7 linked regions of the Macaca mulatta genome follow. The protein of the gene in region 7 purifies or fractionates together with the protein of the main gene of each other region. This does not show direct contact. Links are inferred from orthologs where the notes say so. Each region holds a gene or a part of one and is shown on either strand. Other genes may lie near its edges.

Region 1 (3,442 bases), on a different chromosome or scaffold from region 7:
GTTCAGGCTGGTCTCGAACCCCTGTTCTAAAGCAGTCCTCTTGCTTTGGCCTCCTAAAGTACTGAGATTATAGGCATGAGCCAACATGCCCAGCTTATTATAGTCTTTTCCCCATTTTTATTTGCTTAGGTTTTCATAATGAGTTATTAAACTGAGATTTGAGTGATTTCTGGCATATATATAAGAATTTGTTGCCTGGGCATGGGGCTCACGCTTATAATTCCAGCATTTAGGAGGCTGGAGCAGGAGGATGGCTTGAGCCCAGGAATTGGAGACCAGCCTGGGCAACATAGCAAAATCCCGTCTCTACAAAAAATTAAAAATTTAGCTGGGTGCAGTGGCGTGCACCCATAGTCTCAGCTACTTGGAAGGCTGATGCGGGAGTGTCGCTTGAGCCCCAGAAGTTGTAATGACACTTAAATAAACAAAAATTAAAACTTCAAATAAAATAGGAACAATCAGGGAAAGATTGGCAGAAGACAAGAGTTTTGCAAGGAAAGAGAAGATAAAAGCAAAGAACTTAAAAAGTGGCAAAACATCTAATGCTCAAAGTACTGATCCCTAATCTGTGTTATGTCCTCCTGGAGAAAATTACATTAAAACCATTTGAGGACTTTTTGCTTATCACACATTACTTCCGTCCTGATCTCCATGATTCTGATACCTGTCAGAGGAAATCCTCTGAGTTAAGTTAATTCTTTTATGGTCCTATGACCCATAGATAAAGCAGAAATTCCCTATGGTTCTGTGTTTATCTCAGGTTGACCTTGTTTCTGATTGAGCTAAGTTCCTTCAGGGGATCCCCCAACTAGAGGTTTAAGAGTTTTTGTCTCTTTAATCCTTATATTTTATGATGTCTTTTAAAGTGTTGAGTAGTACTTAACTGACCAAAGACTAACTCTACTTAATTGAGCCAAACAAAATTTTTGCTGACAATTTGTTACTCCTTCATGTGACATATAAGAGGCCTGTGATTAAGGTGAATAATGTTAAGAAGAATTTTATTTCTAATTTGCTGTTAGCTAGGTATCTTTGTGTAACAGTTTTTGGATCTAACATAGTTGTTTTGATTCCACAGTGTCTCATGCGGGAGCCTCCATGTCATCTGCTTCATCAGACACTGGAATGAGTCCCTCATCATCATCTCCCCCACAAAATGTACTTGCTGTAGAATGCAGGTGATAAACATTTTCTCTACCTTCCCAGCAGTTTGCTGCCATGGACATAAATCCCCAGACCCTGAATTACAACCACAGAAAGCACTCAACTGGTTTGACATTGCTAAGTATATCCTGTATACTTTTCCAGGCCGGATTGTATCTATTCCCCTCTCTCTTCTTTTTTCTTGTTGCAAAAAATAAGCTGATTAATAAGTGAAGGTTAAGCAGCCTGCCATATTTGTCATAATTTTTCCTCTTTACTTTTTTTTTCATTTGTTGTGATATAGAACAAAGGGCACTTAGCAAATTTGAATTTGTATAATAAAGCTTTCAGGTGTTATAGAAATCATAGACAAGCAAGTGCACATGATAAACATCAAAATATTACCCAGCTGAATAGTTACTGCTGCACTTTCACTAAGATGTATTTGAACACTTGGTGAGTAGGGGGTTTATGTTGTGTTTTTTTCATTATTGTTGTTTTTTTTATTTTTGTGGAAGCACTTGCTATTTAGAACTGCCAAAGTATATGTTCAGCAGTGTGCCCAGGATTAAAGGTGTAAATGGGACAAAATAAATTGTGAAAGGAAGTGTAGTTGACTGAAAACTACAGTTGTAATAAGTCTTCCACTTTTTATAGGATTTTTGAGCACACAATTATGCAAATATTTTAATGTTTATTAATGTTTACAGTGGAATTGTGAATAAGTTTTCAGTGGACTATCTTATCCCTTGACAAAAATATTTTGTCTTTTTTCTATGTAATTTCAGAGTTTTTATTTTGTTACAAAAAGACAAAAATGAAATATATAACAACAATGAAGTTATTTAACAAGATTTCTAAAGCTGAAAATTTTGTGTAAAATAAGGTATTATCTTGCAACTTGTTAAATATATTTATTCAGACATTGGATGTTGTATTTTTATGTATTTTTTAAAATATTAATAAAATTGAAAAAAAGAAAATTCTAGGTTAATTCACTCTTTGGATGACAATAGCTCTCAGCTGTCCTTTTTACAGGAGGTTGCATCCTGCAGCCTTGCCTGTGTTAAAGGGAGTCTGTCTCAGTCCGTCAAACAGTATAGAACTATAAATGGGCATCTGGATCATTAAAGTATGTCCTTGTTTAGAAACTTTGGCAGTCCTAGTATTTAAACTGTTTTGAGGATCAAATTTTTGGTTGCCCTTAAGATACTTTGTCACAGTTTTTATGTTTGCTATACTGCCGAATGAATTTATATCTCCCAAAGTTGAGATGCAACAACTAAGTAAAGCAACTATGTATGCTTTGTCTGTGAATTGTTCCACAGACTGATACATTTTGTAAATAATTCTTCCAAAATCATGTATTTAAAGCAGTTTTGCATATACATTATGTAAAAAGGTGATTTTTTAAAAGCAATTTTTAAATTCATGTTTGTACATTGAAAGGGGTTTTTTTTTTTTAAACCTCCTTTTCTGTGTTTAATATGCTGTAGAATAATAACCTAGATGCTCTAGACTGTATATCAGGATCTGATTTACAAGAAGAAGTCAGAGCTAAACACTAGTGATGGCATAGCATTACTGAAATCATTGTTTCTTAATTTCATTTTACCACATTGTGAACTTGTGATTCAGATTCCATTTTCTCAGAGAATTAAAAACAAAAAAAGTACTCTTGTAAAATGCACTTTTCTGTCTTTTCTTTGCAAAGCAGAAGTATTTCAATGTAAAATAAAAATGGAGCTCAGTGGGCAGTATTAATAAAGGCCATGTTTTAAACATAGGCTTTATACTTTTAGTTTTATTTTAAGTGATTGCTTTTTTCCTAAGTGCTAATAACTTACAGTTGGAAAATCAGATGTCACAAAACCAAGCATTTTAGTATATTCTTCAGCCTTTACAATAAAATATTTCTACTAATTATAAAAATGAAAAAAAAAAAAGTGTCATTTAAATCCAGCTGGACCTAGGAGGCAACCTTAGATTTATACATTAAATATTTTAATGATTTCCTTCTGTAGCAATTCAATAAATGTGAGATAAATAAGTTATCAGCTTGAGTACTGTCCCTTCTAATTGATACAAATTTGGTCATGAAGTATTGGGATGTTGCTACAGAGAACAAAACTGTGTATTCATTGAATAGATACACACTGTTAAAATCCTTTTATCTGGAAGCTGGAAAGGATTATGAAATTAAGTGAATATTGACTAAGTATGACATTTCAAATATTGAGCATATTTTGAGTTTAGGTAAACTTTGAATAGATACCTCTTACATGTGACTAAGAAGGTA
Region 2 (4,210 bases), on a different chromosome or scaffold from region 7:
AAAAAAATTTAAAATTAGCTGAACATGTGGCTGTGCGCGGTGGCTCATGCCTGTAATCCCAGCACTTTGGGAGGCCAAGGAAGGTGGATCACTTGAGGTCTGGAGTTCGAGATCAGCCTGGTTAACATGGTGAAACCCTGTCTCTACTAAAAATACAAAAAAGAAAAAAAAAAAATTACCCAGGGATGGTGGCGCATGCCTGTAATCCCGGCTACTCAGAGGCTGAGGCACAAGAATCGCTAAAACCCAGGAGGCAGAGACCGAAGGGACCTGAGATAGAGCCAGTGCACTCTAACCTGGGCCAAAGAGTGACACTCTGTCTCAAAAAAATAAAATAAAACAAAATAAAGTAAAATAAAATAAAATAAGCTGGGGAGCTCAAAAGATCGAGGCTGCAGTGAGCTGTGATTAGGCCACTGTACTCCCGCTTGAATGACAGCATGAGATGCTGTTGCAAAAAAATAAGCCTCAGCTACTGGTTTAAGCAATGAGTAGACAGTGGTATCATTTACCATAAGGAACACCAGAATCGAGTGGTGAAGAAAAAGGAATAGAAAATAGTTTATTCCACTTTGCAATGTCACATATTTACTTAATACGTAGCGAAAAAGAGTATTTGAAGGAATTCCTCAACTTCAGCGCTGCTGACTAGACTGGATACTTCTCTGTTGTGGGGGCTTCCCATTATCTTGTAGGATGTGAAGCAGTATCCCTGGCCTCTACCTACCAGATGCCAATAGCACTGTTGAGTTGTGACAACCAAACTGTCTTTAGATATTGCCAAGTATTCCCCTGCAGGAAAAACCACCTCCCCAAACACCTGTCACTGAGAACCACTGATTTCTAGCACTCAAAGGGCATGAGACGAAAAACCAAGTCTTATCTGTGTGTATGCAATCAGCCCTCTGTATCCATGGGTTCCCTGATCTGAATTCAAATAACTTTGGATGTTAAATATTCAGGGGGAAAAATAAAATATGGTTGCATCTGTACTAAGCACATACAGACTTCTTTGTCTTCTCACTGTTCTCTTAGCAATACGGAATAACAACTATTTACATACTATTTACTTTGTAGTAGGCATTACAAGTAATCTACAGCTGATTTAAAGTATACTGGAGGATAGATACAGGTAATATGTAAACACTATACCATTTTACATCACAAAGTGGAGCAACATGGATTTTGGTATCTGAGGTGGGTCCTGGAACCAATCCCCCACAGACACCATAGGGAAACTGCATATCCTTTGTTTTCCACTTATTTTCCTTGATAATAAACTCCTAAAAGGCAAGATCTGTTCCTTAAACAACTCTGGGCTCCCTCACAGCACTAATGCTATACTCTTGGACATTAATTAAACATGAATATATTAATGCATTTCAAAAATAGTTCTTACAGGCATGCTTCGCTGTAAGTTGCATGTGTACTCTATGTGAACGAAGTGCTTAAAGCAGGAAGAAAAAAAGCCTTGTTTAAATTAGAATAGTAATATACCCTTTCTTCAAATTCAAGAAATAAGAATTTACTAAAATCCTAGAAGGAGTCTGCTAATTTTTAAGTTAGAAAACTGGCAATATTCGTAAAGTTGGAAGAAATATATTAGAATATTACATATCTCACCTGTAGCAGCTGGGTTTATCAATCCAGCAGTACCACTGTTTGCAATCTGAGAAGGGGCCTGGCTCAGCCCAGTAGAAGGGGCTCCTAATCGAGGAAACTGTTGAGAACTCATTTCCACCTGCAGTACATACAGTTATATGGTTATTACTAGATTCTGAGATCTGAATCAATATTGAGAAATTAAAGCATCTTTAGTACCTATGAGATAGTCCCTCGGAAAAGCAAATGTTGCATCATCTATTTAAAAACAATAACGTAGGATCAATATAAATGCAGACATTATCTAAACTACCTAAGTTTTCTACCAATATCGTTTATACGGAGCTGGCGTGTACTATAACCCTCCATAAATACTTGTGGATTGCCATGCTAAAAAAATCACCATTGAATCCTGTACAAGAGTCACATGACAGGTATTACCACAATGCATGTGTATTTCTCTGTGTAAAGTTTTATGGAAAATGGCATGTCTCTTCGAAACACTCAAACCTCACACCAAGGTGAACAGAACTGTGATTAGCATGTCATAGGAACATTCGGAGGAAGATACCCAGCCCTAAGAAAGGATCGGATGTTTTACATTCAGACCTGATGCAAAAGGAATTCTCCAACGCTTTTCTGCAAAGGCTTCCATTTACGGATTTCCTTTTCTTTCCCTTTCATAGACCCCCCACAGAGCCAGAGGACCCTACACCTTCTCCATCTTCCCTAAAATCGTCCCCCACTTTTCCCCCAGGAGCCAAGCGATCTCCCCTGATTCGCCCGCAACCCCACCCCACCGCGAAGCCCCCGCTGAGATGGGAGGACGCCGATTTCCAGACACCTCGGAGTGCGAGATCCCCGTCTCCGGGGTAGGGGTGCGGACGGGCGTTCTGGGGACCCGACCACAAGGCGAGCACTGTGCCTCTTTACCTGTAGCCGCCGCCCGCCGCCCGCACCGCCCGCTTCTAGCTCGCCGGCCTGGGGGTGCCGCGGAGGGCCCATCTCGGCGGCGGCGATGCGCTCGGGGGGCGCGGGGAGGGATCGCGGCGGCGGCGCCCGGGGCCCGCCGCTGTCCAGCCCCGCTGGCCCCACTCACCCCCAACACCCGGCCGCCGCTGTGCTCGCAGTCCTCTTCCCCCGAACCTGCCCCTGCCTCCCCCGCCCGCCCATTGGCCCCACGCCCGGCGCGTCAGTGGAGGCCCAGGACCAATCCACAGCGACCTACACGGTCAGGACCCGCCCCACCCTCCCGCCGACCGCCAGCCAATCAGGCGCGAGCCTGGCCGGGGCAGCCCAAACCCCTCGAGGCTGAACCAATGGCAGAGGAAGACAGGCGCCCCCGGCGAGGGGGGCGGGGAGCGGGGAGGCCCCGCCTTGGCCAGGGTCTGAAAGCGGCGGGCGCAGGGCCCGGATGTGGAGAGTCACTTTAAACTGCTCCAGGAGCCAAACTCCCTGGGCCGCCCGCCCGCCCGCGCTCCCCCGACCGCTCTGCTTCCCCGCCAAGGCCCACGTCCGCCACGCCCCCACGCCCGGGTCAGCCCACCCCTCCCGGTGCCTCTCCCTTCCTCGCCACAGGACACCCAGCCCCTGTCGCCGGCCCAACTGCCGTGCCCAGCTCGCCAAAGAGCCGCGGTCCGAGCTGCAGGAGACGAGGATCCTCTGCCCTTCCCCGGGGACGCGCAACGGGACGGACGCTGCAGCCCGGCTCGGCCGCCCCGCCCCCTCGTCTCCTCCCCTTCCCTCCCGGGCTCCCGTCCCGCCATTACCTGGGTGCTGCGCCGAGTGGCCGCCGCGCCGCCTTGAGCTCGCTCCCGCGCGCTCTCTGTCTGCGGGGCCGACGTCCCCAGGTTCCCGACCCGCAGCCACCGCCGGGGAGCTAGCACTCTGCCCCCCACCCCTCACTCCAGCGCCGCTGCTTCCGCCGCCGTAACGAGCCTCCCGTCTATTGGCTGGCGCAGGCCCCGCCCCCTGCCGAGTCAGCCAGTCGCCGGTGGTCGTGAGCGGGAGAGCGGACGGGCCCGCCCCTCGGAGCCGCGGCGTCCTCTGGGAAATGTAGTCGCGGGAGCCAAGAGGGCGGGCCGCGAAGGAGGTGGAGAGCGCCGGGGCGGGGCCGCAGGCGACCCGGCCAGGGCAACACACCCCTTTGCTGTCTGAAGTCGGTTCTGTCTTTTCTCTTGGCTAAGTGAGAAGACAGTGGATCCCACCCTGTGTCTCAACCTGAGGGCACTAGGTTTCATTTTCCCCGCGGGGAGGCGCGGCGCGGGAAAGGGTAATGGAGGCCAACTGCGGCGGCCAAGGGATCCGCGGGCCGGACCAGTGTCGTGACGGTGCCCGCCTCCCTACGCCGCGAGTGGGACTCGGTGTCCCCACCGGGGACCGCGGTCGGCACAGCCTACGCGCGGCGGGAGCCGCCAGGCGCGGCGCGGGCGCGGCTCTGTGAAAGCAGGCCGGCAGGATGCAGGACTCCGGGCGGCCGGGGCGCACCTGCGCGCACTTTCCAGATTATGAAGGCGCTGAAGGGGGCAGTTTTATTTTGTCATTTTGTTTGGGGTTCAGGGTTGGAGTTTATGCGCCTGTAGAAGACATAGCCATATCTTTTGAGGCC
Region 3 (3,500 bases), on a different chromosome or scaffold from region 7:
GGCCGAGGGCCGCGCCTTGCCGGCCTGCTTGGTGGCCTTGGTGGGGAGCGCCGGCTGTGCAGAAGGGCCAGCCGTGGGGGCGGGGGCTGCCTCATCGTCTGAGCTGCAGGAAGAGTCCTCGTCTGTGGTGGAGGAAGAGGAAGAGGAGGAGGAGGAGGACGAGGATGAGGACGAGGAAGAGGAGGAGGAGGAGGAAGAGGAGGAAGATGAAGAGGAAGAGGAGGAGGAGGATGAGGAAGAGGAGGAGGAGGAGGAAGAGGAGGATGAGGAGGAGGAAGAAGAGGAGGACGAGGAAGAGGAGGAGGAGGAGGAGGCCGGTGAGGCTGCCCTGGAGCTGGCAGCGCTGCAGTTACGGCCCCCGGCGCCACAGCCCCCCTCCCCATTCTTGTCGCCTTCCTCCTCCCCTTCCGTCTCCGAGCCGCTGCTGCTACTGCTGCTGCCACTACTGCTGCTGCTGCTTTCGGACTCTTCCGCCCCGTCCTGCTCGGCCTGGGCCTTGTCTGGGCTCTTGGGGTTCCCAGAGTCCTCGAACGTGAGCCCCGGCCCGGGCTCCTGGGCGAGGTCCCCCTCCGTGGCCTTGGGCCAGGGTGCCTTGGGCTCGCTGCTGCCGGCCACCTGGGGGTAGCTGCCCAGGCTCAGGAGGCTCTTGGGCTCCTGCCAGCCCCCGGCCCCTGGGTCCTCCCGGAGCAGCAGAGCCTCTTTAGCCTTCTTGCTTTTGGGTGACGTGACACCCTCGTGGTCCAGTTTGACAAGCAACTCAGTCTCCTCCCCCGGCCTCCGAGGGCCTTTGGCACCTGATTCCTCGGCTGCCCGCGCCTTCTTGGGCTTGGGGCGTGTGGCGGGCATGGTGATGAGGGGTGCTGCGGCCAGGGTGGAGGCAGGGGCTGGGAGCTCCCCAAAGGGCTCGGGTGCTGGGCAGCTGGTAAAGGCGGGTGGTGCGGGGCTGGGCTGTGGCGGTGCTGGGCGCGCCTTGGGGGTCTTGGCTCGCTTGTCCACAGGCTCTGGGGGACTCTTCTTGGAACCTGGGGTGCTGCTCGGCTCCAGGGCTAAGGGGGTACTGGGGACCTCATCTGTTGGGCTCCCCTCCTCCAGGGTAGCGGCTCTGTCTGCAAAACAAAAGAAAACAGATGAGAGACTGGGGCGGGGGCTTCCTGGCAGAGACGAGCTGTGGCTTTCATCAGGAAGGCCTGCTTCTGTGGGTTTTGTTTTTGTTTTTTTGAGATGGGGTCTCAGTCACCCAAGCTGGAATGCAGTGGCATGATCAGGGCTCACTGCAGCCCTAACCTCCCTGGGCTCACGTGAGCCTCCAGCCTCAGTCTCCCAAGTAACCTGAGGCCACAAGCATGCGCCACTATGCCTGGGGAATTTTTGTATTATTATTTTTTTTTTTGTAGAGATACAGTTTTGCTCTGCTGCCCAGGCTAGTCTTAAACTCCTGGGCTCAAGCAATCCCTGTGCCTGGGCCTCCTAGAGTGCTGAGAACAGGCGTGGACCACCGAGCCCAGCAGAACGGCCTGGTTTCAATCCTGGCTCTGCTACTTCTTGAGCGGAACCCGGTTGCGGCCTTCTTAGGCCTCCTTCAGCGGTTCCCCTATAACAACCTTAAGCTGTGTTGGCCCCAAAGTGGGTCCTCCAATAGCCTCTGCTTTCAGCCTGTACAAAGCATTTTCTCTGGATTCTGGAAAGAAACACAGGCCGGCTGCAGCTCAGCTCTGCCTCTGACAAACCAACCTGCCTCCCTCAGCCTCAGTTTCCTCATCTGTCACCTGGTCAGAACAATCCTGCGGTGCAGGTGCAGAGGTCTTTTTTTTTTTTTTTTTTTTTTGAGACAGAGTTTCACTCGTCACCCAGGCTGGAGTATAATGGCGCGATCTTCGCTCACTGCAACCTCCACCTCCCGGGTTCAAGCAATTCTCCTGCCTCAGCCTCCCACGTAGCTGGGATTACAGGCGCTCACCTCCATGCCCGGTTAATTTTTGTATTTTTAGTAGAGGCGGGGTTTCACCATGTTGCCCAGACTGGTCTCAAACTCCTGACCTCAGGCGATCTGCCCACCTCGGCCTCCCAAAGTGCTGGGATTACAGGCGTGAGCCACCGCACCCAGCTCAGAGTTCTTACAGACAGCAGGTAGGCACTTGGGCAGGTTCTCAAGCCCCGAGTTTGGATGCACAAAGGAGCTCTACCCACCGCCCCTGCCCTGGGGTCCGGTTCAACGTACCACCCTTGGCCTTGGCGCTGGGTTTCCGCCCACGCCCACGGGCCTTGGCTCCTGGCTCCTCCGACCCAGTCGTACCACCGTCTTTGCCTTCCCCAGTGTCTTTGCTGGTCTTCCGGCTACGGCGCTTGGCACTCGGCACCAGGAGGGCTGGGGATGGCTCAGCACCTGCAGGGCAGAGGACAGAGTGGCTCATCAGGCCTGGGGTCCCCAGCTTGGAGCTTCCAAGACCCTGGTCTGTCCTGGGGATCAGGGATGGGGGCGGAAGCAACCAACGCCGGGTGGCTGACCCCGGGTGGGCTCCCACGATAGGCTGTGAGGTCCAGCGGGGGAAATCCCATCTGCAGGGAGCAGCCAGAGGCCCCTGAATGAATGAAGTAAAACAAAGCACTTTGTGGAACTGGGACAGGTGGATAAAGATGCTGACTTTGGTTTTTGTTGTTGTTGTTGTTGTTGTTTTGAGACGGAGTCTTGCTCTGTCGCCAGGCTGGAGTGCAGTGGCAGGATCTCGGTTCACTGCAACCTCTGCCTCTCGGGTTCAAGGGATCCTCCTGCCTCAGCCTCCCGAGTAGCTGGGACTACAGGCGCGTCTCAACACGCCTGGCTAATTTTTGTATTTTTAATAGAGACAGGGTTTCACCATATTGGCCGGCATGGTCTCGATCTCTTGACCTTGTGATCTGGCCACCTTGGCCTCCCAAAGTGCTGGGATTACAGGTGTGAGCCACTGCGCCCGGCCATTAATAATTTTTGATCAGCTTCCCATGGCCTGGGCCACTGGGCTTGGGCTGTCCTCATGGACCCAGGACCTGGGAGCCCTGGGATCTCACAGGAGCCCATCCATGGTTTCTGCTACTTCCATCACCTATGGCTCCAAATGACTTCAGACAGAGCCCAGAGCTGGGCTTGGAGGGCGAGAGCCTGGATGGGCGGCCCCTGGCAGGAGCCCGGGTGTCACAAGCTTGTCACTTACATTGGATCTTATAGTCGGGGGGCAGGAGGCGGATGTGTGAGAGGGGGATCCTGCCAGTATCTCCGTCGTCAAACTCCACAGTGATCAAGTCCCCATCGTCCTCCAGGTCCAGTAACCCTGTGGGAGGAGAGGCTCAGGGGAGGCCCTTGGACCTCCAGCTCCCTAGTGAGGCACAAGGGTGGGGACAGCAGAAACCGGCCCCTGTGCAGCCCTGCTCTCTATGGTACAGCAGTGGGGACATGGGTGAGGGTTTACAGTGGCTCAGAATGTGGGTGTTAGAGCCAGGCCATCTGGGCAGGAGAACTGGCTCTC
Region 4 (3,500 bases), on a different chromosome or scaffold from region 7:
GGAGATGCTATAGCAACAAGCAGAATGAGATAAAGAGGTTGAGCTTTGGAGAGGCAGTGACGTTAGAAGGGACACCAAAGATGGAGAGCAAAGGCAAAAACCAGAGACATCCTGGAGGAAGATAGGCCAGAACGAGGCAGCGACCAGATAAAGGGGCACAAAGGAGGGCAGTGGGAAGAACTGTTATCCTCAAATAGCCCTTTCCTAGGCCCAGCCTTCTGGTGTTAGAATCCTTAACCTCCCTCCAGAGAAAGTTCAAAAGTTACTGTAGTGAATGTGCAAACCAGCAGGTTAGGGTTGGGGTCTTTGCAGATGACTGGATAACAGAGGGGAAGGGACCCCCCCTTTTTGTTTCTAACAAAGGAAGAGAGGAAAGCTGCATAGTCATGAAAAATCGAAGGCCCATAAAGTTGGGCTGCCTTTACCTGCCTCTAAAAGAGCTGTTCTTGCTTCAGGCAGGTGGAGAGCACTTAAAAACAAAATGAATGATCAATATGAGGGGCCAAAGTCCTTCATTCTTTTCAAAACATTCCTTAAAACCTTTTTTTTTTTTTTTTTTGGTGAAAACCACTTAGAAATCGAATACATCCATTTCTTTATAAAATAACAATAATGCTAAAAGCAACAGCAAGATTCTGTAAACCAACATTGGAAAAGGGGACACAGGGAGGGGCAGAGGGAAAGGGCCAGATTTTCAACGGTTTCCTCCACATCTGCAGACAAAGGCCCGCCTACTCTTTCTATTCCTACACAGTCATTTTCACTCTGAGTGCTAACAGGCGGTTGCCTTATGAAATATTCATGTGTCAAATATTCAATGTACACTATAAACGGTTCTTCTTTTGCTGAGTCTTGAGTGAAAACAATTTAGTAGAAAGAAAATCCAATATTCCTTCCTGAAGCCTCACTTAATAGACACAGGCACCTGAAGGGAAGGCGGCCTTCCAGTTTGAGAAGCCTAGGTCTTATGGTCTAGCGCAGTGGTTCTCAACACAGGACGATTTTGTCTTGTAAAGGAGGTGTGGCAATGTCTGGAGACACTTTTCGATTGTCATGACTCAGGATGGTGATGGGTAGAATCCCATGAGGGGATGCTGCTGCGGCATGCTGTTAAATATCCTACAATGCAGAGGACAGTCCCCACAACAAAAACTATCTGACCCCAAATGTCAACAGTGCTAGAGTTGAGAAAACCAGGTCCAGTTTAGTCAACTTTGAAATGGATCCTTGGGAACAGCCTGGACTAGGTGTCAAGAAACCAGTGAGAGAAAATCAGAGCTGGTATGAACTGATGACCTACATCTTCATTTTCTGGGGAAGAGACTTCTCCCAAACCATTACACACTCTCTAAAGGTTTTAAACAAGGTTTTTTAAAAAGTGACACTGTGGTTGTATTTATGCATTTGTCAGGGGCGTCTTGCAGAAAAACAGCGTGGTCTACTGGAAAGGGCCCCAGACTAGAGCCTCCAAACTATATACCTGACCTTGGCTCTCTGTGCCTGTCCATAAAATGATGGGGCAGTCTGACCAGTGGGTATCCAAGCTTTTAGCTCTCAGATTCTGTATTACTATAATTCACTTTTCAAATAATCCACAGCAAAACAAAGGGGACTAAAATTACTTCTTAATACAAAAAGCAGACCAGGCCAGAGGTGAGGATCAGATTAGAATCCATTTTTCCAGCTTCCGCAAATTGATTTCTTTGACCTTTACCTCAGGAATGTCAGTGTCGTGCTCGGGAGAATCTCCACCATCGTCACTTGTCTTCCTCTTCCTTTTATTTCGGACACTCTGGATGAAATTTTTGTGAAAATCACAGATATATAGGTGCCTTACCTGACGGACAGAAAAATCAAAGTCAGAGTTGGCCAATTCCTTGGAGACAGCAACAGGTATCTGTCAAATTGTGGGGCTTCCGTCCATTGCAGGGCATTGGAGAGATAGACAGAAGACAAGATGTAGGCCTCCCAGAAGCTCACTACTGAGGTGCAGAAGAACACCAAGAGAACGCTAACATCACACTTTGTGGCGTATCATACACCAAGCCTCCAGTGAATGGTGAAAACAGTAAATGGTACAGATTCAGCAAAGGAAGAGATTCCTGCAACAGAGATGCTCAGGGTGAAGGGCCCTGACTAAAAGGGAGGACTTTAGGCAGACAGGAAGCATTCCAGATGGGTAGGAGTGCCAAGACTTTAGAGTTTCCAATGGAGGATGACAGAAAGAGTGAGGAGGCCCAGGGTACAGTGTCAGTTGGGTGATGATGGCTGCCCATGTAATGTAGGAGCATAATGAAAAAGTGAGGCATCTGGGCGGTGGGCATGAGAACAGCTTAGACTTTCCTTCCGACAAGACAGAGTCCCTCAAGGAAGCAGGGAGTGATGCGACATTTTCAGAAGACCTGTAGGAGTCACGAACTTATAGTGGGCTGGAATGCACTGTCCTGGGGAGGAGGAAAGCAGGACACAAGGGACTGTGGCAATGGTATTTGGGACACTCTATTTTTACACTTACAATAGCTACTATTGTAGGATAATAACTCTCTGAAAAACTTTGTTTCTATGTGTCAATTTATAATTCTTGCATTATCTCACATCTGATCCACAAAGAAAAGTGGAAAAAGATGTGGAAATTCTTACAAGGTAGAACCACATACAAGAAGGTGGATACTACAGATTTTCTAATACAGGATGGAGGTAAGTGAAGGTGGCAGCAACAGCTAAGACATGAAGAATCCTCCATGGCTGGCTGGAGGAGCCATTGAAAAACCTTACAGAAACTGAATGCCTGGCAAATGACTTGGGGTTGTTGATAGTGAAACAGCTGTTTCACAAATGTTCTGCAGAGACTTCTGAATTTGAGTTTATTCCTTAAATCCTTAAAGATAAAAGTAAGCTGGCAGGAAATCGCATCAATTAATTCAGACCTTTTCATGGAGAAAATAATGAAAACTGTTCATTCAGATGAATGATCACTTTCATGTGGCTGGATTAGTGAGTCATGAGTACTTTTAAGTTTATACCGTGATGGTGTCTTGCAGACGGGAGGTACTCGGAAAATGTTGATGTACCAATATAGGAAATCTCCTATATCTAAAAGTGGCTTAGGCTAATGAAAGCCACTTACGTGGTTACAAATTGGGATAGCTTTGTCAGATTCAACTCGGACTTTCGAACACAGCACATGCCACTGTCCCTAAGAATCCCACCTAGCTGATGTATATAATACTGAACATGCTTTTCTCCAGGAAGAAAGCACAACAAAGCCCACTCTGCATCCCTGAGAGGAAGCTGGTCCTGCACGTTAGCTAGACTGGCGAGACCACTCAGATCAACTGCTCAAGTTCACATTAACAAACTTCATAGGAGAACAGAGAGAATAGGTGGCTTCCTTAAGCTTCGGCTGGGAGATTTCAGATCAGGACAATAGAATAACAGAATCCTAGTTGTAAGAGAATTTAGCAATCACTAGTACAATCCCATTGACCCCAATCCCGTTT
Region 5 (3,500 bases), on a different chromosome or scaffold from region 7:
TTTCACAATGTGTGATACATTTTATAGCAAGTGAAAATAACTGTGGAACACAAAGGTAACAAATATGTTGATGTTTATAGTATATTGGCTACTATTTCAAAAACAGATTACTTGATTTTTCATCAGCAATCAATACCACCGCTGAATAATACCAACTTGCTTAAAACTAGAATTTACCTAAGATTAGAAAACCTGTGGGGTTTTTTGCAGAAATTCTTTATTATTATTATTATACTTTAAGTTCTAGGGTACATGTGCACAACGTGTAGGTTTGTTACATAGGTATACATGTGCCATGTTGGTTTGCTGCACCCATCAACTCATCATTAACATTAGGTATTTCTCCTAATGCATGTTTTTTTTTTTCTTTTTAAAGCAAGTAGCCTTACAGAATCTGTGTGACTTTTTTTGAGTGTACAGACAAAATCAAAATAATGTACTATCCCATATCCTGAATACCATTTTCTTACTGGGGAGAAAATTATCAGCTATTATTTTTATATTTTAAAAATTAGATATTTCACACTTACTGCCTTTTCCCTTCTTTTTGTTGTTTACCACTGTTGCTTTATGGCTTCTTTTCTGCTTTTTTGATGAACTTCCTCCTCCCTGAGCATCTTTCACTCTTTTCTGACCTGTACAGGCTATGAAGTGAAAGGGATTAAGTAACACAAAATAAAATCCAACATTTCCTAGGTATAAATTAATTTCACATTTTAGAAGCATAGAACAATCCAAACTACATGTTCTTTATGACATTTATAAATTGTCACAGAAATTACAAGTTTTTAATAAACTGTCATTAATGGAGTCTGAATTCTTGTACATAATAAAAGTCAGGGTTTTAAAAAAGGGAAATAAAGTATGCACATCCTTCTTTAAAAAATCAGATCTAAATTGAAAATAGTCCTTAATATAGTACTGGGAGTTTATGAGCCTAGTAATTAAAAAACAAGCATATGCTGAAAATAAAAACTGAAATTTGTTAAGATTCAATAAAACCAAAATATAAAGACTTAATCACAGGTTAAAATGTTAATGACATTATGTCTTATATTAACATAATTTTTAAAATGATATAATGATATTAATGGGGTAAATTTTAGCAGTAACTCACACTTGGTTTTTTTTTAACCAATTTATTTCAAAAATAACTAAGCTCCCAGGACGCTGTCTGGTTAACACACATACCATTTACAAATTCAACATAGTAGTTCTAAAAAGTGTCTCATCTTCTTGGTGGGAAATTATTGCAAAACATTACAAATAAATGTCTCCCTTTTCTTCAAGGACTAGCCCAAGTCCTACATCTTCACTAAGATGTTCCAGGCTTCACTGATGAATCACTTCTCTCAACTGTAGCATTTTTCTATTCCTTAGCATCTGCTATACTTCTGTCTAATTCATATATGTTATCTCTCAGACTGTATAAAATAAGCTTTTTTTCTCCAGAGACTAATAAAGTACTATCTCCATTCAGTTCCAATGTCAGACACTAAATCAACCTTCTGTGTATAAAACCTAACTTCCTTGGTCAAAAACAGGACAAGTAATTAACTGTCTGCAACTTCCTTTTTTAAAAATAGGTCATATAATCTTACTTATAACTTTTCCTAATACCTTTTTAAATTTTTAATATTTATTTCTTTTTTATTTTTTACACCAAGTATGTGAACCCACCTAAAGTCATTTTAATATAACAATTTAAGTGAAACACAAAGGAGACGTAGATATTGACCATACTGAGGCACAGAGTCATAATTGTCAGGTTTCTCTCCAAAAGAGTTGAATTCTAAAGTGCTCAGATGCTAAGAAATAAAAACCTTCAATGTAGAGTAAATTAAGAGGAAAAAACTACATCTAAATAGCAAAACTTACGTTTTAACTTGTGATATAGTGGGGACTCTCCAATATTCATAGTAAGTAAATGTATTAAAATGTGGCCATGTGAAATAGGTGCTTAAGAATTTATTTCTGGTAGGGCGTGGTGGCTCATGCCTGTAATTCCAGCTCTTTGGGAGGCTGAGGTAGGTGGATTACCTGACGTCAGGAGTTCAAGACCAGCCTGGCCAACATGGTGAAACCCCATTTCTACTAAACGAAATACAAAAATTAGCTGGGCACTAATCCCAGATACTCAGCAGGCTGAGGCTGGAGAATCTCTTGAACCTGGGAGGCGGAGGTTGCAGTGAGCCAAGACTGCACCACTGCATTCCAGCCTGGGCAACAAGAGCAAAACTCTATCTCAAAAGAACAAAAAATAAAACAAAAAAACAATTATTTCTAAAAAGATATAAGTTACCCTAAATTTAGGAGTAGCTTTCAAATTCCATAATTACTAACCTAGTCAAGATTAAGATTCAAAACGGCAGCGTTGTTAGCCAGGATGGTCTCGACCTCCTGATCTTGTGATCCGCCCGTCTCCACCTCCCAAAGTGCTGGGATTACAGGCTTGAGCCACCGCGCCCAGCTGTCTCTTTTTCGTTAATTTTAATCTTTTGTAAGATATTAGGAACATATAATGAGGATACAACCTCTCAAAAACTGTAACAATAGTTTGGGCCTGGTGGCTCACACCTATAATCCTAGCACTTCGGGAGGCTGAGGCAGGCGGATGATGAGGTCAGGAGATCAAGACCATCCTGGCTAACATGGTGAAACCCCATCTCTACTAAAAATACAAAAAATTAGCTGGGCATGGTGGCACATGCCTGTAGTCCCAGCTACTCAGGAGGCTGAGGCAGGGGAATTGCTTGAACCCAGGAGGCGGAGGTTGCAGAGAGCCCAGATCACACCACTGCACTCCAGCCTGGGCGACAGAGCAAGACTCCATCTCAAAAAAAAAAAAAAAAAAAAAAAAAACCCAAAAAACCTGTAACAGTAAAACCTGTTTTTTTCTTTCCTTTTTTTTTTTGAGATAGGGTCTTGTTTTATCACCTAGGCTGGAGTGCAGTGGCGTGATCTTGGCTCACTGCAGCCTTCCCAGGATCAAGTGATTCTCCCACCTCAGCCCCCAAGGTAGCTGGGACTACAGGCATGTGCCACCACAGCTCGCTAATGTTTGTATGTTTGGTAGAGATGGGGTTTTGCCATGTTGTCCAGGCTGGTCTTGAACTCCTGGACTCAAGCTATCCACCACCTTGACCTCCCAAATTGCTGGGATTACAGGCGTGGTGACCACACCTGGTCAGTAAAATTTTATTGTTGAAAGCCTGTCTAATATTCTGAAATAAAGGATTCTTTCATTTTGAAAATTAGTCATGTTTGGATAGTTCAGTTCCATGAGATAGTATGGCACAGATAAAATCATAGTAGTTACACTTATAAATGTGAAAAAAGCAAAGAACATTTCAATTTAATTGCAAGTATATTTTTAATTTATTTTAAAACAGAGATGTTTTAAGTCAAGATTCCTTAGAAAACACAGAATTAACTAATTTGATCTAGACCATATCTCTTTTAAGCTCTGCTAAAAACCTAAAGCTAGCATTCTAAAATCT
Region 6 (4,263 bases), about 92 Mb from region 7:
TTCTCCTGCCTCAGCTTCCCAAATAGCTGGGATTACAGGGGTGCACCACCACGCCCAGCTAATTTTTGTATTTTTAGTAGAGACGGAGTTTCACCATGTTGGCCAGGCTGGTCTCGAACTCCTGGCCTCAACTGAACCGCCTGCCTCGGCCTCCCAAAGTGCTGGGATTACAGGCATGAGCCACCATGCCCGGACAACAGTACACTTTAAATCATCTCTAGATTACTTACAATATCCAGGCCAGGCATGGCGGCTCATGCCTGTAATCCCCGCACTTTGGAAGGCCAAAGCGGGTGAATCACCTGAGGCCAGGAGTTCCAGACCATCCTGGCCAACATAGAGAAACCCCATCTCTACTAAAAACACAAAAGTTAAGGCCGGGTGCATTGGCTCACGCCTGTAATCCCAGCACTTTGGGAGGCCAAAGCAGGTGGTTTACCTGAGGTCGGGAGTTTGAGACCAGCCTGACCAACATGGAGAAACCCCCTCTCTACTCAAAATACAAAATTAGCTGGGGGTGGTGGCGCATGCCTGTAATCCCAGCTACTCCCAGCTACTTGAGAGGCTGAGGCAGGAGAATGGCTTGAGCTGAGATCGCGCCACTGCACTCCACTCCACCCTGGGCAACAAGAGCGAAACTCCATCTCAAAAAAAAAAAAAAAAAAAGAACAAAACAAACAACAAATAAAACCCCAAAAATTAGCCAGGCATGATGGCAGGTGCCTGTAATCCCAACGACTCCGGAAGCTGAGGCAGGAGAATTGCTTGAACCCCGGAGATGGAGGTTGCAGTGAACTGAGATTGTGACACTGCACACCAGCCTGGGTGATAGAGTGAGACTCCACCTCAAAAAAAAAAAAAAAAAAGGTTACTTACAATATCCAATAAAATGTAAATACTATGTAAGTAGTTGTTACACTACACTGTTTAGGAATAACAAAAAAAGTCTGCACATGTTCAGTACGGATTCAATTTTTTCCGGAATATTTTTGAGCTGCGCTTGGTTGAATTCACAGATGTAGAATTCACAGACATGGAGCGCCAACTGTATACAATAAAAAAGGTAATCTGACACAAATATTTTCCAAGTTACAACTAAAGGGAACAAGGAGGAGGCCAGATGATCAAACGAAAATTGTTTCAAAACATCTTAAACATTGCTCTTAGAACAAGCATTAATGGCTGGGGTGTCTACAAATTTTTAACAGCCCCTATACTGCAAGGAAAAAAAAACCCTCAATTTTGGCTCCACCGCGCCCCCTCGTGGGGATGAGATGCAGCGCAAGTGCTTCACATTCAAAATCTCTGGTTAAGCCTTGTCTTCGGATGGAGTTAAACCGAATGCAGTCCTTCAACTTTCCATGTCATGCATATGCAGCTGTCTTTTGTAAGGCTGTTGCAGATCCAATTCCCCACAAACCCTTCTCCCCTCCTTCAGTTAAGAGGCCTTCCCTGAGTTCCTGTCATGGTCAGCCACATTACTTGGCACTCGGGAAATTCAGATGAATAAAACGTATGCACCTTTCCAAACAGCTGGTCTAGCTTTTGCTCCACGGCCCGATTTTGTCCCAGAATATTCCATTCACATATAGATCTCTCTTTATCTCCTCTTTCTTCTCCCTTGATCTTTCATATTTCATCACCTTCCTCCTCCTCCATCCCTCCAAAATAGCGTCCTCACACTTGCCAAATTATAAAGCTCAGTTTGAAAAGCAAGGCTCTGAGACGCTGTGATGACAGTGTAAAGAGCATGGGACTGAAAACACACCACCTGGGGACCATTAAGCAAACCCCTCCCTCTCTTACCTGTTTCCGGGAGGGGGGCGGGTGGGGAGAACATTTACTGAGTATTTACTGTACCAGGCCAAGTACTTTATGCGCATGTCATTTAATCCCTATACCGACCCTAGGAAGTGCTTTCTAGGTCAGGTGTGGGAATTAAACAGCTTCATTACAGCTGGGTAAATCGAGGCTGGAAAACTTTAGTTTACAAAGCTGAGTTAAGTGACAGAGCCAAATTTAAACCTGTATCTGGCTGGTTCCAGGTCCCTTTCCTTTAACCAACCTGAGTTATCAATACTGTCCTACCTAAAGCATAGCTGACACGCATTTCGGGGGTGGGGAGGGGCAACTTTGGACTCTGATGCTCTCAGACACAAAAAACGGGGGAACTACACTCGGTGCATTCAGTAAATGAGTTTCTCATTCCTACTAGTGAAGATGTGAGGTTCAATCAGAGACAGCTGGGAGGGAGGACGGGGTCTTAAAGGGACCCCCAGCGTGACAACGTGTGAGTCCCCTCTCCCCATCACAGTCAAGTGTAACGTACCCAGGGCTTCCCCGCTACTCCAGCGCGAAGGGGAGTAACTTCCCCGAGTCCCGCAACTCCCGGCGGCCCCTCCACGCAGCCCCAGGCCCCAGAGGCCGCCCCGCCCCTCTCCCAAGCAGCCCCACCCCCTCCCTAGCGGTCCCACCTCCGCTCCCGGCCGCCGGGAGAGCTGCAGGACTCACCTTCGTCCGACTCGCGGCCCCGACAGCTGCGCTCGTCGTCCTCGGCGCTCTCCAGCTCTTCGTCCTCCTCGGGGTAGTACTCGGGGGCCGGCGGCGCTCCAGCCTGGGCCGGGGCCGGGGCCAGCAGCCCCGCGGCACTCATGTCGCCTCTGACCGCAGCTGAGCGTGGCCCAGGGACACCGCGGCCACCCGCCTTCGGTACTCGCCGTCTGCCTAGCAGCGTCCGAGGGAGCCCCCAACTCGAGGAGCGGGAGCCGCGGCGACCCCTTCCCGGTCTCCGCCGAGCTCCGCCCCCCGCGCCCGCGCTCGGCAACCGGGGCCTCGCGCCGCTGGCGACTTCCGGGTCGAGAGCTGCCCGACGACGGCCTGACTCCGCCATCCTTGGGGGAGTGGAGATGCCGCTGGACGCCCAGTCGCCACAACTTCAGCCCTTTCATCGCCGTCTTAAAATCCTTAAAGTATAGTGGGGGAGGGGCGGAGCCAGGTTCTCTAGAGTCAGGCAAATCTACGGGCAGGCCCAGCAGCCATCAGGACCCCGAGGCTCGCAGGCGACATCCGGAAACAGCCGCCAGGCGGCGCCTGGAGCTAGAACTAAAGCAGGGATCGTTAGCGACCTAGGGGCGGAGGGTTTGAAGGGCCCTTGGCAGGTGGAGGTGGTCTCTAATCTAAGCAGGGGAACCACGCGAACTGCCCCCTTGTTAGGTCTGAAAACCTAGACATCCAGAGTGTGCGTGATCATGCAGCCTGGCTCCTCCTGTGACTACTTAGAGCTTTATTAAGAGCTAAAAGACAAGGATGCTGATATTCCATCCTGGGGACAGCAAAACAGTATTTTCCCAGCCCTTAGGAATCCTTTCTATTTGTGTAAGGTTTATTCGATAAGATGTTCCCCCGGTTTTACAAACGAGAAACGAGCTGTCGTTTGCCTAAAAAAAAATAGCAACGTCCAGTCTGATTTTTTAGACTCGGAGACCCAGGCCTTCCGCGGTACAGCTGTCTTGAATATTAATTTTTTCAAAGGTGCTTTTGCCTAATCCAACAGCTTGCTCTGAGCTCTCAACTGAAGAAGGGGAGAATTTGCCTACCAGAAGTTATTTGGCTAAGCAAGACCTACGTGGAAGCTTAAAAACCAGGAGAGCTGAGTATCTGCAAGAATTAATTTGTGGGATTCCCTCTGAGTAAAAGAGGGACACGGTGTTACAAGTTTTGCTCAAAGAATAGATTTAAGGTGTCCCTTTAGCTAAGAGCAGTGTGGTCTAGTTGTGTGTAGCGAGAAAAAAGGATAAGGTTTTTAATGGTTTGTCCAAAGTAGCCCCACTTTCATGTTCCACCCGAGTCTCCGTAGGAAACGCAACCAGTAGTGAAAACACATGTGAAAACCAGGGTGGAACCGAATATTCCCATTCTCAGACCTTTTGTGATCAAATTTCTCTCTGAATTGGCCCCCATGGACTCTTCTAAAAAATGAAACATTATTCCCATCCCATTTATTTTGACATTTATTTACTACCTTGTTTTAATTAAAATCTTGGCTCTATTTGTAAGGGATTTTTTGTCCCAACAAAACTAAAGAATTTCCAGAATGGAATGCTAAGATGTCTTTCCAGGAGTTCCGAGATCTTCTGAAGCGCCTTCTAAATAAGAATCATTCTCAGATCTCACCAGGTCTGCCATCTATATTTAAACTAGGATTTCGGAACTGTCTCGTGTCCAAAAGATGAAGTCATTTTCTTTTTTTGTGCTGTTGGAGCA
Region 7 (3,500 bases):
GCGAAACCCATCTCTATAAAAAATACAAACAAAAAAACTTGCTGGACGTGGAGGTGCTTGCCTGTAGTCCTAGCTACGTCGGAGGCTGAAGTGAGAGGATCACCTGAGCCTGGGAGGTTGAGGAAATGAAGATACTAAAATAAAAATAAAATTTAAAAAGGAGTGGTTGGCACAGACCTTTTTGACAACCTTCAGAATAATTACAAAGTCCAGGATTAACAATAAACGATGAACAAATGTTTCGATAAGAAAAGGTGGTGAAAGTAATTTCTAACAGGGGAAATCATTATTTCTTTCTTTTCTTTTTTAAAGAGACAATGTCTTCCTGTGTTGCCTAGGTTGGAGTGCAGTAACTGTTCACAGGTGTGATCATTGTGCATTACAGCCTTGAACTTTTGGGCTCAAGTGATCCTCCTGTCTGAGCCTCTCGAGTAGCTGGGACTACAGGTGTGCACCAGCAATATAATTGTTTGTTTGTTTGTTTGAGTCAGAATCTCACTCTGTCACCCAGGCAGAAGTACAGTATCACTATCATGGCTCACTGCAGCCTTGACCTCATTGGCCTCAGGTGATTCTCCCACCTCATTCTCCTGAGTAGCTAGGACTACAGGCATGCACTATCATACCCTGCTAATTTTTCTTATTTTTTTGTAGAGACAGGATTTTGCGATGTTGCCCAGGCTGGTCTCGAACTCCCGGCTGCCTCGGCCTCCTAAAGTGCTGGGATTACAGACATAAGCCATCTCGTCTGGCCATTTTCATTTTTTAAAACTACAATCCTTCTCTGGTTTTGTTTGCTGTGAAACTAGAATATTATGACACATTATTTTACTTGCCAAAGGGTAGCATTTTGATACTTATGAAATAACTACACAGGCCGGGTGCGGTGGCTCACACCTGTAATCCCAGCACTTTGGGAGGCCAAGGCAGACAGATCATTTGAGCCCAGGGGTTGGAGACAAAGCCTGGGCAACATGGTGAAACCCTGTCTCTACAAAAAATAGAAAAATTAGCCAGACGTGGTGGCATGTGCCTGTGGTCCCAGCTACTAGGGAGGCTGAAGTGGAAGGATCACTTGAACCTGGGAAGTTGAGGCTGTAGTGAGCCATAATCCCACCACTGCATTCCAGCCTGGGTGACAGAGTGAGATCCTATTCACCTCCACGCCCTCACCAAAAAAGAAATATATCTACACATTGCAAGAAAGATTGATTAAACAGCATTATTTAAAACCATGATAATCAGAATCTCTTTTAGGTCTTGAGTTTTACTCCTTAATTTTAAAAGCATTTTTAAATTAAATTTCTTTTTTTTTATTTTAAAGTAGAGATGGGGGTCTCCTTTTGTTGCCCAGGCTGGTCTCGAACTCCTGCACTCAGGTGATCTTCCCACCTTGGTCTTCCGACGTGCTGGGATTACAGGTGTGAGCCACCGCACCAGCCTATTTAATTATTTAATTTTTTTTTTTTTTTTGAGATGGAGTCTCACTCTTGTTGCCCAGGCTGGAGTGCAGTAGTGCGATCTTGGCTCACTGCAACCTCTGCTTCCTGGGTTCAAGCGATTCTCCTGCCTAAACCTCCTGAGTAGCTGGGACTACAGGTGTGTGCCAGCAGGCTAATTTTTGTATTTTTAGGAGAGACACAGGATTTCATCATGTTGGCCAGGCTGGTCTCGAACTCCTGACCTCAAGTGATGCACCCGCCTCAGACTCTCAAAGTGCTGGGATTGCTGGCGTGAGCCACCACACCCAGCCTGGCCTATTTAATTTTAAAAGCATTTCTTATTTCAAAATAACCAAATTGCAGTACGTAGAATTGGTTTGTTGAATCTAGAAGATAATTTTATTTCTGAAATATTCTATAGAAACAATGGAATGGGATCATCCAGGATGATTAAATTGTATCTATAAACCATATATAGATACAGTTTTTTTCCCAAAGGAAATGTGCTTGCTTGAATTCTTTAAGGTAAGGGAGACTGATAAAGGTTTGATTGTTTTCTTATCAGATTGCATGAGACTCGTTCAGGAGACATCTGCAATGCCTGTGTCCTGCTTGTGAAAAGATGGAAGAAGTTGCCAGCAGGATCAAAAAAAAACTGGAATCATGTTAGTCCATTTTCTTTTTTTCAATTATACCTCTATTATATTTAAAGTAACATTAATTTCCCCCTAATTTAGGAAGTAATATATCCCTAGGGTAGAAAAGTCTGAAAAGAATAAAGAAAAACACTAGCTGCTGCTCAGATATAATTGCCTAACATTTTGGCATCTTTAGAACAGAATAGCCTGGTATGGCATTTCCTTAAGACTGTATCCAATATCTCCCTTTTGGAGATTCACAGTAAGCATTCACCTATTTTTAGGCTTAACTCAGTAATTCCTAGAGTTAATTAGATGTGAATCCTTTTTCTTAAATCTCTTTGGATAACATCATCCTTTGAACTCAGGTTGGTACTAATGAGCACATAGATTTTAGGATCAGACTTGAATTTGAATTTTGCTTTTACCACTACTAGTTGTGGACTTTGGGCAGGTTACATTTATTTATGAAGTGCAAAGATAATAGCTCTGTTACAGAGCAGCTGTGAGAACTGGATGAGATGATATGTAGAAGGTATAACACATAGTTATCATTCACACTAGCCTTACATTGTCCTTTGATAACAGTGTTATGCTATTATAATAGGTCATGATTTTGAAGATGGTAACAACGTTCCTTTTTACATGGGGTAGAAATCTGCAACTAATAAATGTGAATGAATACCTAAGAAACAGGGCCATATGGGGCGAGATCAATGGCTGGGCTAGACTGTGGGAGAACATGCTATTGCTGTCATATAACTCACCTCAGAGATTAAGGTGTGTAGTGAAAAAAGCATAAAGACCTGAAGACCTTGATTCCAGTCTTTTCCCCTCTCCACCCCTCTTAACCCATTTACTTGCTTGGTAAAATAAGGCAAAATGCATAATTTCTCTTTGCCTTGTTTTCCTTCCGTCTAAAATTGGAGTAACAAAAATAGCCCTGTTTATTGCTTTGTATTGAAGATAAAAAGTATTTGAAAGCTTTTCATAAACTGCAAAACATTATCCTGTAGAAATGGAGTTGTTTTTAGGTTTGATTCTTAACCTAGTTGGGTCATCCAGTAACGATTATCCCATATACAAATCTATTTAAATTTTTTTCCAACAGACTCCCACTATTACCCACTTCACAGGAAAGAGTATCTTAAAAAACCCCACTAGATAAATATTATTTATTCCCTTATGTCATGTGATGATTAAAGGTGCACATGGAGGAGTTTCACCCTCTTTTCAGTGTAAAACTGTGGTTCTCAAATAGGCACGGATCTGAACCAAAGGGATACACTAGTATCATTTTAAAAATATTATTAAATATTCAGTATTTTCTTCCAGGTGGTAGATGCAAGGGCTGGACCCAGTCTAAAGACTACATTGAAACCAAAGAAAGTGAAAACTCTATCTGGGAACAGGATAAAAA

What was found.
Region 1: the proteins of SINHCAF (region 7) and ARID4A purify together in Homo sapiens (affinity purification with mass spectrometry; 3 studies listed by BioGRID and IntAct, counting the BioPlex papers as one, with this or other methods). This does not show direct contact. The link is inferred for Macaca mulatta from reciprocal best matches to the Homo sapiens genes SINHCAF and ARID4A.
Region 2: the proteins of SINHCAF (region 7) and SAP130 purify together in Homo sapiens (affinity purification with mass spectrometry; 3 studies listed by BioGRID and IntAct, counting the BioPlex papers as one, with this or other methods). This does not show direct contact. The link is inferred for Macaca mulatta from reciprocal best matches to the Homo sapiens genes SINHCAF and SAP130.
Region 3: the proteins of SINHCAF (region 7) and TNRC18 purify together in Homo sapiens (affinity purification with mass spectrometry; 3 studies listed by BioGRID and IntAct, counting the BioPlex papers as one, with this or other methods). This does not show direct contact. The link is inferred for Macaca mulatta from reciprocal best matches to the Homo sapiens genes SINHCAF and TNRC18.
Region 4: the proteins of SINHCAF (region 7) and SAP30L purify together in Homo sapiens (affinity purification with mass spectrometry; 3 studies listed by BioGRID and IntAct, counting the BioPlex papers as one, with this or other methods). This does not show direct contact. The link is inferred for Macaca mulatta from reciprocal best matches to the Homo sapiens genes SINHCAF and SAP30L.
Region 5: the proteins of SINHCAF (region 7) and ARID4B purify together in Homo sapiens (affinity purification with mass spectrometry; 3 studies listed by BioGRID and IntAct, counting the BioPlex papers as one, with this or other methods). This does not show direct contact. The link is inferred for Macaca mulatta from reciprocal best matches to the Homo sapiens genes SINHCAF and ARID4B.
Region 6: the proteins of SINHCAF (region 7) and SUDS3 purify together in Homo sapiens (affinity purification with mass spectrometry; 3 studies listed by BioGRID and IntAct, counting the BioPlex papers as one, with this or other methods). This does not show direct contact. The link is inferred for Macaca mulatta from reciprocal best matches to the Homo sapiens genes SINHCAF and SUDS3.

What each region holds. Positions count from the first base shown.
Region 1 is NC_133412.1:131,497,176-131,500,617, forward strand, and holds the end of ARID4A (AT-rich interactive domain-containing protein 4A), read left to right. Parts: intron 1-1,078; coding exon 1,079-1,182; 3' UTR 1,183-2,942; downstream 2,943-3,442.
Region 2 is NC_133417.1:9,247,305-9,251,514, reverse strand, and holds the start of SAP130 (histone deacetylase complex subunit SAP130), read right to left. Parts: upstream 2,801-4,210; 5' UTR 2,608-2,800; coding exon 2,536-2,607; intron 2,249-2,535; exon of another isoform or gene 1,822-2,248; intron 1,742-1,821; coding exon 1,624-1,741; intron 1-1,623. UniProt on the Homo sapiens protein: Acts as a transcriptional repressor. May function in the assembly and/or enzymatic activity of the mSin3A corepressor complex or in mediating interactions between the complex and other regulatory complexes.
Region 3 is NC_133408.1:43,513,381-43,516,880, forward strand, and holds part of TNRC18 (trinucleotide repeat-containing gene 18 protein), read right to left. Parts: intron 3,306-3,500; coding exon 3,189-3,305; intron 2,384-3,188; coding exon 2,219-2,383; intron 1,107-2,218; coding exon 1-1,106.
Region 4 is NC_133411.1:163,320,127-163,323,626, reverse strand, and holds part of SAP30L (histone deacetylase complex subunit SAP30L), read right to left. Parts: intron 1,838-3,500; coding exon 1,715-1,837; intron 1-1,714.
Region 5 is NC_133406.1:13,890,715-13,894,214, reverse strand, and holds part of ARID4B (AT-rich interactive domain-containing protein 4B), read right to left. Parts: intron 645-3,500; coding exon 531-644; intron 1-530. UniProt on the Homo sapiens protein: Acts as a transcriptional repressor. May function in the assembly and/or enzymatic activity of the Sin3A corepressor complex or in mediating interactions between the complex and other regulatory complexes.
Region 6 is NC_133416.1:125,665,819-125,670,081, reverse strand, and holds the start of SUDS3 (sin3 histone deacetylase corepressor complex component SDS3), read right to left. Parts: upstream 2,801-4,263; 5' UTR 2,654-2,800; coding exon 2,512-2,653; exon of another isoform or gene 1,841-2,511; coding exon of another isoform or gene 1,807-1,840; exon of another isoform or gene 833-1,806; intron 1-832.
Region 7 is NC_133416.1:33,457,699-33,461,198, reverse strand, and holds part of SINHCAF (SIN3-HDAC complex-associated factor), read left to right. Parts: intron 1-2,007; coding exon 2,008-2,107; intron 2,108-3,415; coding exon 3,416-3,500. UniProt on the Homo sapiens protein: Subunit of the Sin3 deacetylase complex (Sin3/HDAC), this subunit is important for the repression of genes encoding components of the TGF-beta signaling pathway.